Linked DNA regions of Tamandua tetradactyla. The protein of the gene in region 2 purifies or fractionates together with the protein of the main gene of each other region. This does not show direct contact. Links are inferred from orthologs where the notes say so. Each region holds a gene or a part of one and is shown on either strand. Other genes may lie near its edges.

Evidence for each region.
Region 1: the proteins of BBS7 (region 2) and BBS4 purify together in Homo sapiens (co-immunoprecipitation; 7 studies listed by BioGRID and IntAct, counting the BioPlex papers as one, with this or other methods). This does not show direct contact. The link is inferred for Tamandua tetradactyla from reciprocal best matches to the Homo sapiens genes BBS7 and BBS4.

The regions. Positions count from the first base shown.
Region 1 is NC_135338.1:69,646,818-69,656,879, forward strand, and holds the start of BBS4 (BBSome complex member BBS4), read right to left. Parts: upstream 4,534-10,062; 5' UTR 4,479-4,533; coding exon 4,455-4,478; intron 1-4,454.
Region 2 is NC_135348.1:46,865,896-46,876,300, reverse strand, and holds the start of BBS7 (BBSome complex member BBS7), read right to left. Parts: upstream 4,314-10,405; 5' UTR 4,215-4,313; coding exon 4,179-4,214; intron 2,863-4,178; exon of another isoform or gene 1,421-2,862; intron 1-1,420.

The DNA.
Region 1 (10,062 bases), on a different chromosome or scaffold from region 2:
CAAAAAACAGTCTTATTGCTGATATGGACAAAGTGTTAGTGGTGTGGATAGAAAATCAAACCAACCACAACATTCCCTTAAGCTAATCCAGAGCCTGGTCCTAAATCGCTTCACTTCCAGAAAGTCTGACAGGTGAGGAAGCTGCAGAAGAAAAGTTTGAAGCAAAAGAGGATGGTTCATAAAGTTTAAGGAAAGAAGCCATCGCTATAACATAAAAGTACTAAGGGCAACAGCAAGTACTGATGTAGAAGCTACAGCAATTATCCAGAAGATTTAGCTAAGATAACTGATGAAGGCAGAGATACTAAACAACAGATTTTCAATGTAGACAAAACAGCATTATATTGGAAGATGCCATCTAGGACTTTCATAGCTAGAGAGGAGAAGTCAATACCTGGATTCAACACTTCAAAGGACAGGTTAACTCTCTTTTTAGGGGCTAATTTAGTGACTTCAATTTTGAGTCAATGCTCATTTACCATTCTGAAAATCCTAGGGCCCTTAAGAGTTATGCTAAATCTACTCTGTCTGTGCTCTAAAAACAGAATAACTAAGCTTGGATGACAGCACATCTGTTTACAATACAGTTTGCCGAATATTATAAACACACTGTCGAGACCTAATGCTCAAAAAAAGAGAGATTCCTCTCAAAATATTACCAATCATTGACAATGCACCTCAGAGCTCTTATGGAGATGTACATGATGAATGTAATTTTCCTGCCTCCTAACACAACATCCATTCTGCAATCAATGGATCAAGGAGTCTTTTGGACTTTCAGGTCTTATTACATAAGAAATACATTTCATAAGGCTATAGTTGCCATACAGAATGACTCCTCTGGTGGCTCTGAAAACCTTCTTGGAAAGGATTCACCATTCTAGATGCCATTAAGAACAGTTAGCAACTAGGTGATGATATTGTGAGCCACTGCCTGTATACTTTGGATGGACTGTATGTGTGTGAAGATATCTCAACAAAAATATTAAAAAAAAAAAAAAAGAACATTTGGGATTTATGGGAGGAGGGCAAAATATCAACATTAACCAATGTTTGGGAGAAGTTGATTCCAACTCTCAGAGACCACTTTGAGGGGTTCAAGATTTCAGTGGAGGAAGTAACTGCAGATGTGGCTGAAATAGCAAGAGAACTGAAATTAGAAGTGGAGTCCAAAGATGTGACTGAATTGCTGCAATCTCATGACAACATTTGAATGGATGAAGAGTTGCTTCTGATGGATAAGCAAAGAAAGTGGTTTCTCGAGATGGAATCTACCCGTGGTGAAGAGGCTGTGAATACTGTTCAAATGACAACAAAGATTTTTAAATATTACAAAAACTTAGTTGATAAAGAGTGGTAGGATCTGAAAGGATTGACTCCCAATTTTGAAAGAAATTCTACTGTGCTATAAAACATAACATACTACAGAGAAGTCTTTCATAAAAGGAGGAGTCAATCAATGTGGTAAACTTCATTGTTGTCTTAACCTTCAGTAACTAACACCCTAATCAGTTAGCGGCCAACAACTTCTAGGCAAGACCCTCCATCAGCCAACAGATGACAACTTGCTGAAGGATCAGATGATGGTTGGCATTTTTTCATAAATATTTTAAATTAAGATATGTACAATTGTTTTTCAGACATAATGCTATTGCACACTTAATAGACTACAGGATAGTGTAACCATAACTTTAATATGCACTACAAAACCAAAAAATTTGTAACTAGTGTGATATTTACTTTATTGCAGTGCTCTGGAACCGAACCCACAATATCTCTAAGGTATGTTTGTACACCAAATTTCTCAGAAAGGCAAAACTATAAAGACAGAAAGTAGATCAGTGGTGGCCTGAATTCAGAAGTAGCAACTGGCTGCAAACGTTGTATAAGGGAATTTTTTATAGTAATGGACATGTTCTAATTGCACATGGATTGTGGAAATATACAAATTTACTAAAACTACACACAGTATACACTTAAAATGGAAGAATTTTATGATATATAAATTGTCCCTCAATAAGGCTGTTTTAAAAATGCTAAAGGATTTAACTTTTCTTAAAATCTAATTGGAAATTTGGGGGAAGGGGGAAGGAGATTCTTAGAGGATCAAAAGGCATCTTCTCTACCTTTATGAGTCAACAACCCTACTTCTTCTGCACAAAGTGGAATTAAAATAAATCATAATTGAGTCTTCTTTCCAAAAGATTTTTTCCAGAACATTCTGAGAAATGGAAAGGATTCTAAAAGCCCACTTATTCTCATTCATAGGTGTAATGTATGTATGAGTAAATCCATCATGTTTTTCGGCTCTTTCTTCATTTTTATGTAATTGTTATTTACTTATCTCACAAATATTCAGGGAGCACCTGATATGTACTAAGCACTACCTGACACAGATCAACAAGTGCAGAGAGGATATTTCTCTCAGTTCTGTAAAGTTTTCCTCCTTTCATTCATAGGAGAACAGATGGATATTTATACAAGTATATCACATAATGAGAATTAGGGAGTTATAAAAATTTTGTAAGTACAAATCATGGTTTTCCAAGATCTTTCTTCAACTTAAACCCAAGCTATTTGCTAGCTTTCTTTCCTTTTTTCATTATAAGAACTCTAAACCATTTATCATACATATTTACACTATATAGATGTGTATATCAGTTTCCAGTTTTCTTCCTAAGGAACTGGTAATAATCCATAATAGTTCTAGTGGTGTATTAGAATTTGTGTGTTCCACACTGGGCCACTTTCACTCAGTTATGCTGGGATATTTCACAGCTTCAAGGCATTTACTGCAGCATTTTTACTTTTATCATGTGTTCACAGTTTCATCTAGAGTTTTAAGTCTTTTAACCTTTTCTCCTCTGTGTGTATGTCCATATTTATAGATCTATGTGTTTTTTCCTTTAAGTCACAAAATTTAGATTGCACAGTATTCCTCCAAATCCTGTATTAACAAATGTATACCATGAAAATCTTCCCCTATCAACACGCATACTTCTAACATTCTTTGTAATGGTTGCATAATATTCCACAGTATGTTAATACCACAAGTTATTAATCCATTACTTTCCTAATAGGTATTCACTTTGTTTCCAGCTTTCTGTCACCACAAATAGTACTGCAATGAATGCCCTTGTACTATACGCTTGTTTCACTTTTATGTCTACCCTACACAGATGTACAAGTGGAATTTCTGGGTCAAAGAGTAACAGGTCCTTTTAATTTTATTAGATAATTTATAATTATCACTTTCCAAAAAGGACAGAAATCAAATTTCAATGTGGTGTTAACTTGAAAAAATAAAATTACTATCAATACTAGATTGTTAGCAACAAATCTAACAACACCGAAAATAATAAATTAACTTCAGGCTTAAGTGCTAAAGTCCCACTGAACCCAGAAACGTAGTTCTCCTTAAAAGTACAGGATAATTCTGAGAGCTTTGAGAGTACAGAACCATTCTACCATCACAGAAATCAAGTTCATATTCTGTCACACGAACACCTCTCTATACCTGTAGTGAACAATTACATCTCACACTTAAAATCTCTGCTTTGAGCCTCCTTCCCTGTTTTCCTTTCTTCTGATTAAAACTGAAATAATTTGATAACTCTGCAGATGAGAAGGTATAGAATAGAAAAGCCCCGCCTCAGAAGATAAATTTGACCTAGCTCCTAAACACCTAAAACTACATGATCAAATGGTCAGCCAAACGCTGCTATTTTTTGTCTTCTATGTTTTCCAGGGTTTTTCAGAGAGCAATAAATTCTGAACTAAAATCAGTCTAACAAATCGGCGGAATTGTTTTGAAACCCTAAGGCAAGAATACAAGTTTGACACTTGGTGCTTTCACAAATTATGATTATATACCTCAAAACCAACTACTGTTGGCTCATGCTGTATTTATCTGGGTTACTCTGTAACAACAATTCCAGGGAGTTTAATCAAATCCTAACTCAATCTCCAACTGAATCTCGTAACAGTAATTTCCTAAACGCTAATTACAGCAGTGACACTGAAGACTTTCAAGCTTCATCAAACTAAATTCCTAATCCACGGGATTAGCAAAAACTGTCTCTACACATGTGATAATGCTTCCTTTCCAAATCCCGTGATGCTAAAAAGACGAAGCAAAGAAAACAGCTGTATCTGGTGGATGTCTCCCTTTTCCGCTAAACGCAGCTCACGGGGTACCACAGCCCTAGAACAGACCCCCACTGCAAAGAATTCACACCCGCCCTACGCCGACCTGTTTCCGGGGAAGCAGAAGACCGACTGTATCACGCCCGCCCATCCCAAACTGCTCTGGACCTGGCTCCGCATCTCCCCAAGGGCGGCTGTGTGGAACTGGGGCCAAGAGCCAAGACCCAGTGCCCACCAATTTACCTCGCCACCCTCCCAACCCGGCCCTCCCTGGCCGCCCAGACGCTACGGAGAATCTTGGCGCTCACCACCGTGAGTCCGTCCTCAGCCATTTTGGTTCAGCCAGCCTCACGGAGGCCGGAAGTCGGTGGATTCCCAGACTACCAGGCAAACGGAAGTTGGTTGGACTGTAAACAGGAGGGCGGGGCCTGAGAAGGGAAGTAGGAGGATTGCTGGGGCTTGGGCTGAGGCTCTGAGTGGGAGATTCAGGGTCCTCAGGGAATGGAGCTGTAGGGTCAGAGTCCGCTTCGTAGCCGGCTTCCCTCTGACCATGCCGGTGAGGAAATGTGTAGTCTCTAAACCCCCACCCGAAGACTCTGCTGGAGAAATACCAGGCCTCCAGCTGAGCGTGGCCAACTTAACCTAGAGATGCTGCGCAGTCTTCAAATCTCTTTCTTGCCCTGGCTCCAGTCTGCGTTTATTTCAGTCTTCCTGGGAGTTCCACCACACACACCCCGCCCCTCCCCAGGTCCAAAACCTTAGGGCAGAATCTCATTTTCACGCCTTACGTTACAACCCTGTTTCTTGACTGTTAATATCCAGCTAATGAGTGGAGAATTAATTGGGAGGGAAATAAGAATTGATAATCTAAGTAGATTAAAAGAATACAGCAAGAAAAGATACAATGAAACAGTTCACATGGACTAGAGTAATGGCAAAATCAAGAAAAAATGGATTCTTAAGAAATTTAAGAGGTAGAACATAAAGTAGATGGTACAGAATTGAATGTGGGAGAATGAGGAAAAGGGAAATCCCAAAGGAAAATTGCCAGGTCCCTAATTTAAGCAACTGGGTGAATGGTACAACCAAGTACTCAGAAGAGGGGCCTTAGGAAAGGAGCAGTTGTTGGTTCAGGAAGCTCATGAGCCTTGTTCCCAATAAAGAAAATCTCCCTGAAAGGGGTCCTGTGAAAAGTCAGACATTCTTTTTGTTCATGTTATTCAATAAATAGAAATCATTATTACTATATGTCTTAATATCTCTCCTTTGAATCCAGATCATAGGAAGAAGAGAGGGCATTTCTTGTGCAAAGGATTACAATAAGGTTGCACATTGATTTCTCAAATTTCAGTCGCCAATTTAAGATACTTTAGATAACTAATAAGAAAAATGTCATGCAACATAATCTCTTCATAGGAAAATCCCAGAAATCACATAAAGAACGGTTCTAATGTAACACATGAGTCTTAATCTTCCTTAGAAAACCTTGAAAGTGGCCATGTGCTCCTACTTATCAGGATCACTCAAGTCATATAGCTGGGCAATGTGTTCCAAGCAAAATGACATTTATTGTTTCTTCTCCATGGTAGGGGCTGAGGAGGTAGGGAAAGGATCAAACATTAGAAACTTTTAAACTTCACCAACACATGTATAACAAAGGAATTGTAAACATTTTAATTTCACACTTTGCTAGGGTCTACCTCTAGCTTTGTTTTGATGTCACCTGCAGGGTAACTCTCTATCTCTTTCTGCCTCTTTTGAAATGGCCAGTCCTCCCAAAATTCATACCATCAAACCCTGAACAGCCCAGCCAACACTTGGGAAAAACAACACTCTAAAATAACATGAAGCCCCAAGACCCTTCATGAAGATTTTAAATGTACGTATTCCTGATACTTCAAATATACTCAACAGAGAATGTTGAGAAAAATATATATACCTCATTGTTCCTGATACAAAAAAATACTGGAAACAATTTAAATGTCCATCACTGGGAACTATTTAAATAAACCAATAATCCATACTAAGGCAAATTATGCAGCCTCTAAAAGACTTTGAGAGTGTTAAATAATTTTGTGAAAAAAAAACCGTCAAAAATTTTTATAGTATGCTTCCATTTGTGATGAATTAGAAAGGGAAATATTTATACACATATTAAGTACAATTTTTAGAAGAAATCACAAGAAACTGGTAATGTTTGTCTCTGCAGAGGCACTCTCCAGCAATGCACATGGAAAGGTGAGTTTGCCCATGAGGCAAGGAAGGTGGAGCACATTTCACTGGGGTTGGGGAGAGCCCGGCCAACACCCTACTTTTCTGGAGGAGTTGAGCATGTGCCTGGAGATGGCAGAGAGTCCCGGTGCCATCCAGATGCTTCCAGGGGTGGGTTCAAGAACAAGGTGGTCTCCCCAATGTTTGGATATGTTAAAACCCTCACCCCAGTATTTGAAAAGCAAGAGAAAGCCACAGTAAGCAAGAAACTGAACAACAATGAAAGAGAAGGGAGACACAGGAAAACTCTGTCATGACAAGCTAGAGACCAAGGGTCACCAGCAGTCCACTCAGAATGCCAGTGTTAAGGAAGAAAGCACCGCCTTGGTGATGCCTACATGTGAAATTTTTCCCAGCCTCAAACTTTGAGCAAATAAATTCTCATTGTTTAATCCAACCTATTTCATGGTATTTTCTTAAGCAGCTGATAAATTTAAAACACCCCCCAAATCAAAACTTACCATTATATATACATAAGAAGCTCTGGAAGGAATGCTAGTAGTACTTTGACCTCACATATTGCAACATTCAAAGCAAATATGAACGCTTAATTATTTTGATAATCGGCTTAATTTTGCAAAGTCATACAGCTGAATGAACTTCCAGGATTAGAACCCAAATTTTCTGACTTCTGGGCTGATATTCTTTCCAATATATCACATTGAATCCTATCATCAAGATTTTACATGATTCTTAGTCTCCATATAAATATTTGTGTTGAAAAGAAAACTTAACTTTCCAGTCTTACCATCAACATAAACATTTCACGCTAGTGAACAATGAAAGGGAGGGGTAAGGGGTATGGTATATATAATTTTTTTTCTGTTTTTGTTTTATTTTTCTGTTGTCTTTTTATTTCTTTTTCTGAAGTGATGCGAATGTTCCAAGAAATGATCATGATAATGAATATGCAACTATGTGATGATATTGTGAATTACTGATTATATATGTAGAACGGAATGATCATATATTAAGAATGTTTGTGTTTCTTATTTTAAAAAAAAATTAAAAATTTGTTTTAAAAATAAACATTTCAAATTGGCTGTTTAAGTATTATTTGGATTATAAGCAACAGAACCCCAACTCAAACTGGCATATGCATAAAAGTGGAATTAATGAATGCAAGTAATTGAAAAGTCCAAGGACTCATCTGAGGGCTTCAAATAAGCTAATCAGTACTGTGCTGACTTGAAACTGTTAGGTACCCTAGAAAAGCCATACACTTTTAATCCAATCTTGTGGGATAAACTTATTGTGAATGGGATCTTTTCATTAGGTTGTTTCCTTGGAGATGTTACCAGACAAAGGTCATGGGTTCTTTTGCCCAACGTGCTCAATAACTGATTCCTGAGACCCTGGAGTTTCAAAGAGAGAAAGAGTTTATTACTAGGGGCATAGTGGGAGAGCAGATGGCCTAGTGGCCCAAAATTTGTCTCCCCAAACTCCAGTAATTTATATAGTTTTTTATTAGAGGAAGGATGGGCAAGGTTTAGGATAATGAGCACAGTGGTTCCAGATAATGTAATTAGGGGTGATCTGATTATTGAGCGTGCATAGATTGTTTACATGCTTAGTCACAAAATGTATGAAAGAAAATAGCGGAATGAGGTATAGGTGACTTGTAGGATAAAGTCTAAACTACTGTGCATTTCAGGTGGGCCCACTTTGATTAGATCCAGTTTCAGTCATCAACATAATTTTGGACTTGGGGTGGATTAGTTCTGGGCAGACTCAAGACCCATCATTAACAAATATTAGGGTCTGTTCTTAGTGATTACGAGACTCTAAAGTTATAAAACTGGATCAGTGGGTACAGATGAAGATTAGTCACAAGGCTTACAATCACAAGGGCAAAAGATAAAGGTTATACAATCATTATCAGAGATCAAGGCAACCAGATTACAATTTAGAGATTTCAGGAATTTCCCCCTGTCTACTCCAACATACCAGAAAGCAAAAAGGAATATCTATGTAATGAGTCAGCAATTAAAATCATCCCTTAAATCCTGATTTCTTGGTAACAATTCCTCCCTGTCATTTGACAATTCCCCAATCTTGAGGGATATCTGGATGACAACCACTCTGGCTACTTCCTGCTAATAAAGGGGCATCTCCCTAAGGGTTTAAGGAGTGGAACTTCTTATTATAGTTGGATATATTCTTTAACTTCAGGTTTTTTCCATAGTATTAAGTCTTCTCCTATATTTCAATTATGGCAGGGCTGGGATAAGAGATAGAGACATGTTTTAAAGATGAGTTTATGCTCATAATTATTATTAGTAGTATCATTAGCCCTGCTTGAAATACTGAATGAAACCAGGATCCTATTCCTGTAGGAAGCCAACAAAATAAATCAAATATGCTGAAGGATGTGGAGCTAATGTCTATGGCATTAATTTGATTTTTCATATGTTCTATTGACTTTAGTTACATTTTCAGATTCATCAGGTATATAGGTACAACATTCAGTTTTTATTATAGCACATGTCCTTCCTTGTGAAGCTGTTAAGATCTAAGACCATTCAGTTTTGTAGTACTGCTTTACACATTAGGGTCACTTCAGTGCTTAAGGGATAAACTTTTGAGGCTATCATTTAAGGCTTGCTGTATAAAATTGTTTGGTGCCTCTATCCTAAGTATAACATCTTCAATACCTAATGATGGCAGAAATATAGCAGCTAGATGGTCACACCAATGAAATACTGACTGGGCCCATCAAACTTTTAAAACTTTTACCTAGCTCCTGAAGACAGAGTTTTATGAATACTTCCTTGAGCCCAGGGTAATCCTAGAGTGCATCTGCCTATTCAACCTGGAGATAACCAGGGCCATAGGTTGGTACCATATAACCATGAGTTCTGTTCAGAGCTAAACAGAAAACATTAGGTCTATTAGTCCAGTCTGTCCCAAACCAGTCACTCTCCTGTAATATTATAATTTGGAGACATTGCTCTGGAGGCAGCCACACCATTCTCTTTGTATTGGAAATGTTATACCATTGTAAATGATTCTGTTGTTCCCAACAGAGAGAGGCTGTCTGGCTTAATCTACCATACCCAGGTGTTAGCCATACTATGCCATCCCAAAGTTGCAAATGCCCCTCTTTTGGAGGATATATTTAACTTCCCCATTTTGAGAATTTCTAATACTCTAGCAAACAGTGGGGAAAACCAAATCAATAGGTCTAGCCCTCGATCCTGGTATTTGTCCCTATGAAACTTATTCCTGCAAAGGACAAACTAAGCCTACTTAAAATTAGGCCTAAGAGTCACCCCCAGAGAACCTCCTTTGTTGCTCAGATGTGGCCTCTCTCTCTAAGTCAACTCAGCATGTAGACTCACTGCCTTCCCTCCTATGTGAGACAAGACTCCCAGGGGTATAAATCTCCCTGGAAACATGGGACAGAAATCCTGGTATAAGCCAGGACCCAGCATCAAGAGATTGAGAAAGTCTACGTGACCAAAAGGGGGAAGAGAGAAATGAGATGAAATAAAGTGTAAGTGGCTGAGAGATTTCAAACAGAGTTGAGAGGTTACCCTGGAGGTTATTCTTATGCATTATATAGATATCCCTTTTAAGTTTATGGTGTATTGGAGTGGCTAGAGGGAGGGACCTGTAAGTATTGAGCTGTATTCCAGTAACCTA
Region 2 (10,405 bases):
TTTAAATATATATGCACCTAATGGCAGAATACCAAAATATATGAAACAAATTTTGACAGATTTGAAGGGAGAAACAGATGGTTCTGTATTAACAGTTGGAGACTTCAGTACACCACTTTCAATAACAGATAAAAATCTAAATAGAAAGTCATTAAGGAAATAGAACACATGAATGATACTCTAAATTAACTAGCCCTACCAGATATACATAGAACAATTTAACCAACAACAGAAGAAGACACATTCTTCTCTAGTGTACATGAGTCATTCTTTAGGATAGACCATAGATTAGATCTCAAGCCAGGTGTCGATAAATTTAAAAATACTGAAATCATACAATGTATCTTCTCAGACAACAATGGAATGAAGCTAGAAATCAGTTACACAAAGAAAACTGGGAAATTCACAATATGTAGAAATTTAAAAACATACTCTTAAACAACCAATAGGTCAAAGAAGAAATCACAAGAAAAATTAGGAAATACCTTGAGTGAATGAAAGCAAAAACACAACATACCAAAACTTAGGGGATACAGCAAAGGCAGTGCTGAGGGAGAAAGTTACAACTCTAAATGCTTACAGTAAAAACCAAGGGAGATCTCAAATCAGAGATCTCAATAGCCAAAACCATCTTGAAAAAGAAAGCGGGAGGACTCATATGCACCTATTTTAAAAGCTTATTATAAAGCTACAGTGGTCAAAACAGTGTGGTATTGGCACAAGGACAGACATATAGACCAATGGAATCAGACTGAAAGTTCAGAAGTAAAACCTTTAAAGCTAGGGTCAATTGATTTTTGACAAGAGTGCCAAGTCCACTCAACAGGGAAAAGAATAGTCTCTTCCACAAATGGTGTTAAGGAAACCGGAATGCCATATCCAAGGAATGAAAGTGGACTCTACTTCACACCATATCCAAAAATTAACTCAAAATGGATTAAAGAGCTAAATAGAAGAATCAAAACTATAAAACTCCAAAAAGAAAACAGGGCAGTATCTTCAGGACCTTGTGTTAGGCAACGGTTTCTTAGATTTTACCCCAAAAGCACAAGCTAAAAAAAAAAAGGATAAATGGACATATCAAAATTAAAAACTTTTAAGCATCAGAGGACTTCACTATGAAAGTAAAAGGACAACCTACAGAACGGGAGAAAGCATTTGGAACCAGCATATTCCATAAGGGGTTAATATCCAGAATATATAAACTCTTACAACTCAACAGCCAAAAGACAAACAACCCAATTTTAAAAATAGGTCTGTTCTAGTTTGCTAGCTGCCAGAATGCAATAAACCAGAAATGGAATGGCTTTCAAAAGGGGAATTTAATAAGTTGCTAGTTTACAGTTCTAAGGCCGAAAAAATGTCCCAATTAAAACAAGTCTATAGAAATGTCCAATCTAAGGCATCCAGGGAAAGATACCTTGGTTCAAGAAGGTCAATGAAGCTCAGGGTCTCTCTCTCAAGTGAGAAGGCACATGGTGAACACAGTCAGGGTTTCTCTCTCATCTGGAAAGGCACATGAACACAGTGTCATCTGCTAGCTTTCTCTCCTGGCTTCTGGTTTCATGAAGCTCCCCAGGAGGCGTTTTCCTTCTTCATTTCCAAAGGTTCCTGGCTGGTGGACTCTGCTTCATGGTGCTGCAGAATTCTCTGTTCCCTCTGAATCTCTCATTCTCCACAATGTTTCCTCTTTTGCAGGACTCCATTAAACTAATCAAGACCCACTCAAATGGGTGGAGACATGTCTCCACCTAATCCAGTTTAACAACCACTCTTGATTGAGTCACATCTCCACGGAGATGATCTAATTACAGTTTCAAGCATACAGTATTGAATAGGGATTAGAAGAAATGGCTGCCTTTACAAAATGAGATTAGAATTAAAGCATGGCTTTTCTAGGGTACACACAACCTTTCAAAACGGCACAGGGTCAAAGACTCAAATTTCTCCAACAATACACACACAAAAAAAAACACATGAAAAGATGCTAGACATCATTAGCCATTTGGGAAAAGTAAATCAAAACCACAGATACCATTTCACACCCACTAAAATGGTTACTACTGAAAACCAGAAAATAGCAAGTTTGTAGGAGAAAACGTGGAGAAACAGGAACACTGCTGGTGGGAACGTAAAATGAAGTACCTCCCATGGAACACAGTGTGGTGGCTCCTCAGAAAGTTAAGCACAGAATTACCATCTAACCTGGCAATCCCACTTTAGGCATACACCCAAAGGAAATGAAAGCAGGGATTCAAATAATGTTTCACATCAGCATTCATAGGGACATTATCCACAACTGCCAAAAGGTAGACACAAACCAAGTGTCCTTCAACAGATAAACAGATAATCAAAATGGGGTGCATACATACAACGGAGTATTATTCAATCCTAAAAAGGAACAAAATTGTGACATATGCTAACAACATGGATGAACCCTGAAGACAGCAGGTAAAATAAGTCAGCACAAAAAGGACAAATATTGTTTGACCTCACTTATACAAGATAATTAGAATATGCAAATGCATAATCAGAAACTAGAATACAATGTGCTTCACCAATTGTAATAACGGTAATACTAACACGAAATGTAAACAGGGAAAACTGAGTGTGAGGACTGGATACATGAGAACTCCACTTTCTTCATGGTTTTCCTGGAAACCTACAACTTCTCTAATTAATAAAAACAAAAAAATGCCATTATTTTTAGCTATTAAGCAAGTTACTTCCTTTCTCTGAGTCCCTGGATTGTCATATACGTTCTACTTCGAAGGCTTTTTATTAGGATTAAACGTATATTAAATTCTTAGACTGAATTAGATGCTCAATAAAGGGCTGCCATTGCTTTTATCATGGTCTGGCTGGTGCAGTCAAGCTCAGTCTAAAGTAATAGTTTCTGGGAGAAGGGACGGATATAAATGGAGATTTGGGCGTTTGCGGTGCAAGGTGGCTGCACCAGGGAAAGGGGGGGACAGGGCCCAGGTGCAGTCCGGGTCGGGGCCCGTCACACGTCCAGGGCACGTCTGGGCAGGTGCAGTCCGGGTGGGGGCCCGTCACACGTCCAGGGCACGTCTGGGCAGGTGCAGTCCAGGTGGGGGCCCGTCACACGTCCAGGGCACGTCTGGGCAGGTGCAGTCCGGGTGGGGGCCCGTCACAGGTCCAGGGCACGTGTGGGCAGGTGCAGTCCGGGTCGGGGCCTGTCACACGTCCAGGAGCACCCCCGGCTCCAGGCAGGTGCAGTCCAGGTGGGGGCCCGTCACACGTCCAGGGCACGTGTGGGCAGGTGCAGTCCGGGTGGGGGCCCATCAGACGTCCAGGGCACGTCTGGGCAGGTGCAGTCCGGGTCGGGGTCCGTCAGACGTCCAGGGCACGTCTGGGCAGGTGCAGTCCGGGTCAGGGCTTGTCACACGTCCAGGGCATGTGTGGGCAGGTGCAGTCCGGGTCGGGGCCCGTCACACGTCCAGGGCACGTGTGGGCAGGTGCAGTCCGGGTCGGGGCCCGTCACACGTCCAGGGCACGTCTGGGCAGGTGCAGTCTGGGTCAGGGCTTGTCACACGTCCAGGGCATGTGTGGGCAGGTGCAGTCCGGGTCGGGGCCCGTCACAGGTCCAGGGCACGTGTGGGCAGGTGCAGTCCGGGTCGGGGCCCGTCACACGTCCAGGGCACGTCTGGGCAGGTGCAGTCCGGGTCGGGGCCCGTCACACGTCCAGGGCACGTCCGAGCAGGTGCAGTCCGGGTCGGGGCCCGTCACACGTCCAGGGCACGTCCGGGCAGGTGCAGTCCGGGTCGGGGCCCGTCACACGTCCAGGGCACGTGTGGGCAGGTGCAGTCCGGGTCGGGGCCCGTCACACGTCCAGGGCACGTGTGGGCAGGTGCAGTCCGGGTCGGGGCCCGTCACACGTCCAGGGCACGTGTGGGCAGGTGCAGTCCGGTGGGGGCCCGTCACACGTCCAGGAGCACCCCCGGCTCCGGGCAGGTGCAGTCCGGTTCGGGGCCCGACACACGTCCCCGGCCCTGGACAGGCGCCTGCCCGCCCCGCCGGAGCCCGCCGCGTCCCTCACGTCCTCACCGGGCGTCCAGGAGGGCGGCGCCCACCTGGCCCCCGACCACTCCCGTGAAGGAAGGGCCGCTCGGGGAGAGGCCCACCCAGCGCGGCGCCCGCCCGCCCCGCGGACATACCTGCAAATAGTCAGTCCGGTTCAGGCTGAGATCCATGGCGCGGGGTCGCAGCCCAGGACCGCCCTGGACCGCGCCTCAGCCCCGCGCAGACGCCCCCGCGGCCCTCGACCCGCAACCCCAGAGGCGGCGACGGGAGCGCTGGGGTGGCGTCAGCGCAGCGGCGGCGTGACGTCAGCACGCTCACCCGCGGGGCCCTGGGCGCATGTACAGCCCGCCCTCCGCCCTCCCAACGGCCCGCCCACGGCTTAGCCTGCTCCAATCAGAGGCGGAGAGGAACGTGAGGCGGGTCCTGGAGACCGCGAGGGCGGTTTCCATGGAGACAGGGAACGCCTCCTAGCTGCGCAGTCCCGGCTGTCGGAGTGGGACCGCTCCTGGGGCGAGGCCAGCATGGATTCCGACCCGTTGCATCTGACACGGGAACGGATCCCCGCGAGAGTCAGGCTCCACCTGCACAGCCGTTAATTTCCAGCCGTGCCCCAGCTCTTAGCCTTAACCCCTTTAGAAAACTCTTGAGTTGAGGACCACGGAGAGCTTTGGTTATGTGAGTTTCTGATATTTGCCATTTTAGAAATTAGAACTAAAATTTCAAAAACTAAATTTACTAAAAACACAATAAAATCCCATTACACAAATAACGTAGTTGAATTAAAAAGATATTTTCTAAAATTAAGAAGTTTTAAAAAGTGCTACTGTTTGCAAATCTATTTTACTATCTGCCTTAACAGAAGACAGTCGGAATCCCAATTCTGCTTCTGCACTCAATCTATTGCTAGAAATTGTTTTTGTTGAAGTATACGAAGAAAATTTTACCCAAATCCAACAAGTAGTAGGTTTTTTAAAGTGTCAGTTGCAGTGTAGAATGTGGCTTCTTTATTCAATATCAAAAATCCAATTTGTTAATATCACCGCAGGTCTCATCAGAAAGTCTTGCAGTATTAGAAAGCTGTCAAAATCAAATGATGGATACAGATTTTCCAAATTTCCAATTAGTACTTGAAAATCTGAATTTTAAGCATAGCCAACATGTTTGTTTTCCTTGAACTGATAGGCTCCCTTCTTGAATTCATGAGATGTATGCCAAATACCCAAGTCTGAAGAATCACAATTTGTCTGGCAGATGTCGTTTCACATAGTATTCAGTGAAAGAGGAGCAAGCTCAGGTAGCAAATCAAATAATGTCAATGTACTTTGGTATTCAGCAGAAGTCCTTTATGCATACCTTCCATATCATCACAATTTAAAAATATATACTCGAGTTGATATTTACAATAAACAATTATTCCTTCACAAAGGACTTTTTTGTTTACTTTTTTATTGTATAATATAACATATATACAAAGCAAAGAAAGAAAAAGCAGTAGTTTTCAAAGCACTGTTCAACAAGTAGACAGATCCCAGAGTCTGTCATGGGCTACCATATCATCATCTCAGATTTTTCCTTCTAGCTGCTCCAGAACACTGGAGGGACAAATATTTTTACCATCACAATCGACTTTTTTTCTTTTTTGTGAAATATAATCAATATACAAAAAAGCAATAAATTTCAAAGCACATTGCAACGATTAGTTGTAGAACAGATTTCACAATCTGGTGTGGGTTACAATTCCACAATTTTTGGCGTTTACTTCCAGCTGCTCTAAGGTACTAAGACTAAAAGAAATATCAATATAAGGATTCAGTGATCATCCTCATTTGTTAAACACAACCTTCTCTGTATAACTCTACCATCACCTTTGATCTTTCTCTCATTCTTTAGGGGTATTTGGATTATGCCTATTCTAACTTTTTCATGTTGGAAGGGGCTATCAGTAATATGGGGTAGTGAGATGGAACTAGCTGATGTTCTGGAGACGCTGGGCCCTCTAGGTTTCAAGACTTATCTTGTCTAGGGACCCATCTGGAGGTTGTAAGTTTCTGGAAAGTTACCCTAGTGCATGGAACCTTTGTAGAATCTTATATAATGCTCTAGGTGTTCTTTAGGCTTGGCTGGAATGGTTTTGGTTGGGGTTGGCAAGTTATGATAGGTAGTAATGTCTCATTGAAGTTTGCATAAGAGTGACCTCCAGAGTAGCCTCTCGACTCTATTTGAACTCTCTCAGCTACTGATACCTCATTTGTTACACTTCTTTTCCCCTGTTGGTCAGGATGGCATTATATATCTGATGGCGCCAGGGCCATCCCTGGGAGTCCTCTCCCATGCCGCCAGGGAGACTTTCACCCTTGGATGTCAGGTCCATGTAGGAGGGAGGGCAATGATTTCACTTACAGAGTTCGGCTTAGAAAGAGAGGGGTCACATCTGAGCAACAAGAGGTCCTCTGGAGGTAACTCTTAGACACACTTATAGGTAGGTTAAGCTTTTCCGCTACCTACATAAGCTTCACAAGAGGAAGCCTCAGGATCAAGGGTTTGGTCTATTGATTGGGGTATCCCTACAATCTAACACAGTATCAGGGGTTTCTCCAGTGATAAAGTTTAATAGTTCCATATTTTTTATCCCAGCCCTCAAGGTATTTTGTCAATATTTTTTGATTATCTGTTTAATATACTCTAGGATGTATCCAGGCATTACATTAAGCTATCTGGTCTCCCTGTGTTTTGATTGTTTAAATGAGCTATCCAGACAAGTAGTGTTAGATTATGTGCTACAGAAAATTTAGTTTCCAGGCAAAATAAATCTTTTTTCCACAAAGGACATTTTTATATGAGCCTTTTTTTTTTGTTTCCTACCAGTGTGTGGCATGATGACTCTAATGGCTGTTAGTACTGTATAGCTTAGAGTCCCTGCTCCCATTCAGGCACCAGCACTATTGCCTGCAATGCCTGCACAGTGCAAATGCAAGCCCAGTGAAAACATAAAGTTAGTCTTAGTATTATTTAGTTTCAAAATATCAAACTCCCTTGGCCTCAGCCTTCCCCACTCCCGCCCTGGGGTCAGCACACGGCTCTTTGGGAACCTCTGGCTTTCGTGACCTAAGAGCTGATATTCCCTTCGCTCACTTCTGTAGGTCCTTCTTTAGTGCTCACAGCGTTCTGCCTTGGACGTAGATAAGTACACTTCCTTTTCTGTCTCGTGTGGGCTATTAGGGGAGAGCTCAGTTCACAAATGATTGTGAAACAAGAAGAGTTAAAACCCTGAGAAGAGTGCTTTTTGGAAGATAAATTATTTCTTGCAGAAGAATAATCTGAAAAAGTTTTGCCTAAGTTCTAGTATATCCCAGACAATTCTTTTTTGAGGCTAAAATAACTCCATATTAAGGAAGGCAACAATATATGAAGATAGTATAGCTGTTTAGCAAGTTGGGAACAATATATATCAATTTTAAATGCCACAGAAATTACTTTAGTGATAAATTTTAGAAGTAAATTGCAACATGAAACCACAGAGGAGATAGGATAAAATATAATTGTATAGAATTATACAATTCTATACAATTTTTTACTAATTCATACCCATTAGTAAAAAAACACTGTGACTACAATAAACAAGTGAGTAAGAAACTAAACATAGTAGGCATTCTACTGTCCCAAAGATTGCAAAAAAGGGTTATGTCACAACCGTGGATACTAAATCCTCCCACTGTGTATTTCTTGTTTCCCTCCTCCCTGGCACTATGTTAACAATTTGAGGGAAATGGTACAGATATCATTATTGCTGTTTATGTGCAATAACAAGCCAACCATCAGAATGTTGAAAACCTGATAAGTGGGCAGAAATTCTTTTTTTTTAATGACCTTTGGGGAGTATGATGCATAGTCCAGGGATGGATAAGACTTTAGAAGCTTTCTAATCCAGTGCTATAATTGCACAAAGCCCTTAGGGATTTAAAATGTGTGTCGTTTTTTCATTGTACATGATAGAAAGGTAATTTTAAAGAAAAAAATTCACAATAAATTGCTATCTAATTAAGGTAGCATTATAAAATTCAACTTTATACAATCTCTACAATATTTACAATAAAAACAAATTGGTAAAGAATAGTTTCCATTTAACAAGTAAAGCTCACTCTTTATTTCACTTTAATCATGTAGAAAAAGTTTATTTTGAAGATCAAATTTATTTTAAAGCATTGAAATGAAAAAATGTCATGGCATTGAAAATTGACAGAAAAAGAGCTTGCAAAATAAAATATTCAGAGTTCTTTCATTCTGCATCCAAAAAAAAGGTAACTTATTATTTTAAAAGCTGTGTTTTGTCTCTGAATGATTAACAAAAGTTCGAACTATTATTTTTTAAACACTTCTCAACTAAGTCGCTAGCAGATATGAAGAGTTTTTATTCTAAATAAATAAATAAATTGCCACCATATTTTCCCTTTGTAAACATGTTTTGAGGTACTAAAAACCAGCAGATGATTGATTGTATCTCAGATGTGGTGAAGAGCACAGGCCTTCAGATCGGTTTGCAGGAGTATCATGCTCCTCGGTAACTCGTCCTTTTACCTTGTGGTGGTCAAGCAGCCATTATGGGCAACCACTAAGCAACTGATGATGAAGAACCAAAGCCATTTAAATTGCCTTCAAGTTAAACCGTAAATACGTCTAGCGGTGGTTTCCCGAGCGACTGAGTCCTGAAGACAAATTGCCCTTCACTAGTGTGCTCCCTTGGTAAAAATGTGGAAACTTACTTTTTTTAAAAGCAGAAAAACAGCCATTTTAGATTTATTTTTTAAAAAACTAAGGGGAGAAATGGAAAGCATGATCATGGTTGCTCCTTGGGCATCACACCCTGAAACGCTTCTACCCCCGACATCCGGAGCCCTGATGGCGTAAACCGGTTTTGGAAGAACAAGTCACTAAGATCCAGCCACACAATTAATCAACGTAGCTTCAGTTCTCCTGCTCAGTAAGACAATTTCCCTTCTCATTTACAAAAACTGCTTTCACTTGGCTTAGGGATTTGAAATAATATATTGGACATGATTGCATAAAAGAGCTATTCTTAAATGGTTCTCAAATTTATTTTAATAATCACAACATATTCATGTGATTTCTAACTTTTTATAGTGCACAGAACTGTTTGAAGATACTAGATCTTATTTTATATTGTTCCCTATTTTAGGTCTATAAATCCGAGCTTCTCTACATTGTGAACATAATGTCAAGTGTCTTCAGTAAATTTAATGCAGCAGGCACTTAGACAACGCTGAGCTTTCAATACAGTAAGCTTAAGAAACAGTGTGGTAAGGGGTGTGGTATGTTTAATCTTTTTTTTTCTGTTATCGTTTTATTTTTTTCTGTTGTCTTTTTCTTTTCCTAAATTGATGCAAATATTCTGAGATGATGAATATGCAACTATGTGACGATATTAAGAATTACTGATTATATATGTAGAATGGAATGATATGTTAATGTTTTTGTTTGTTTGCTGTTAATTTAAAAAAAAAAGAAACAATGTGCGTGTGCTTCCTTTCCTTCATCTTCTCTGTAACTGAGAAATGAACTGAGAACAGTAAGGAGGTCAACAGGTAAGAGATGATACAGGAAAGAAAGGGACCTAAACAACTCTTTCTAGATAAGCTGTTTTGGATCCTCTTAAAACGCTCCCTTCTGCCCAGTTGTCCTACCAAGCACCAGCGTCTTCACGCTTTGCCTTAAAGTCCAACATGCCTGTTACAAGACTGACAGCGGCAAGAGCCTGCTGGACCAGGGCTACCGTTCACTTGAGAAGGAGCATTAAGTCTGACAAGCATTCCCCAGCCGAAGCCTCACCTTGATCCAAGCTACCAAATGTGGTGTCTTGGGATTAGGGCATGTCCCCTAGAAGCAAAGCCTAAGATGGGATGTGGGTGCAGGGATGTGCTGAGGGAGGGAGTGCTCTCAGGAGCAATGCAAGAGGGAACAGGACAAGGCAGGGGTAGGAGCTACGCAAGGATGCAGTCCCAGCTGAAGTCTGGCTTCAGCCTGACCCTCGGGGCGCTCTGGAGCAGAAACTGCACCGAAAGTTTGGCCTCACCTTGAGACAAAGGGCCTGCCTCTTTCCCCATCCCAGTCAATCAGTTATTGGGCATGGAATGGTGGAGAAGTAACATCTGGGCAAGGTCGCTGCCCCCCTCCACTGGGGCGATTCTCTGGAGAAAGGGCTTTGAGGTGCCAACACGCACAGCATCCGGGGGGTGCAGGGTCCGGCTCGGTAAAGGGGTCCGGGCTGGGCTTCCACCAAACCCGCTACCCCTCGTCGTCACATCTTCCTTGACTGCCAATAGGAACTATGAGGAGGGACAAAGAC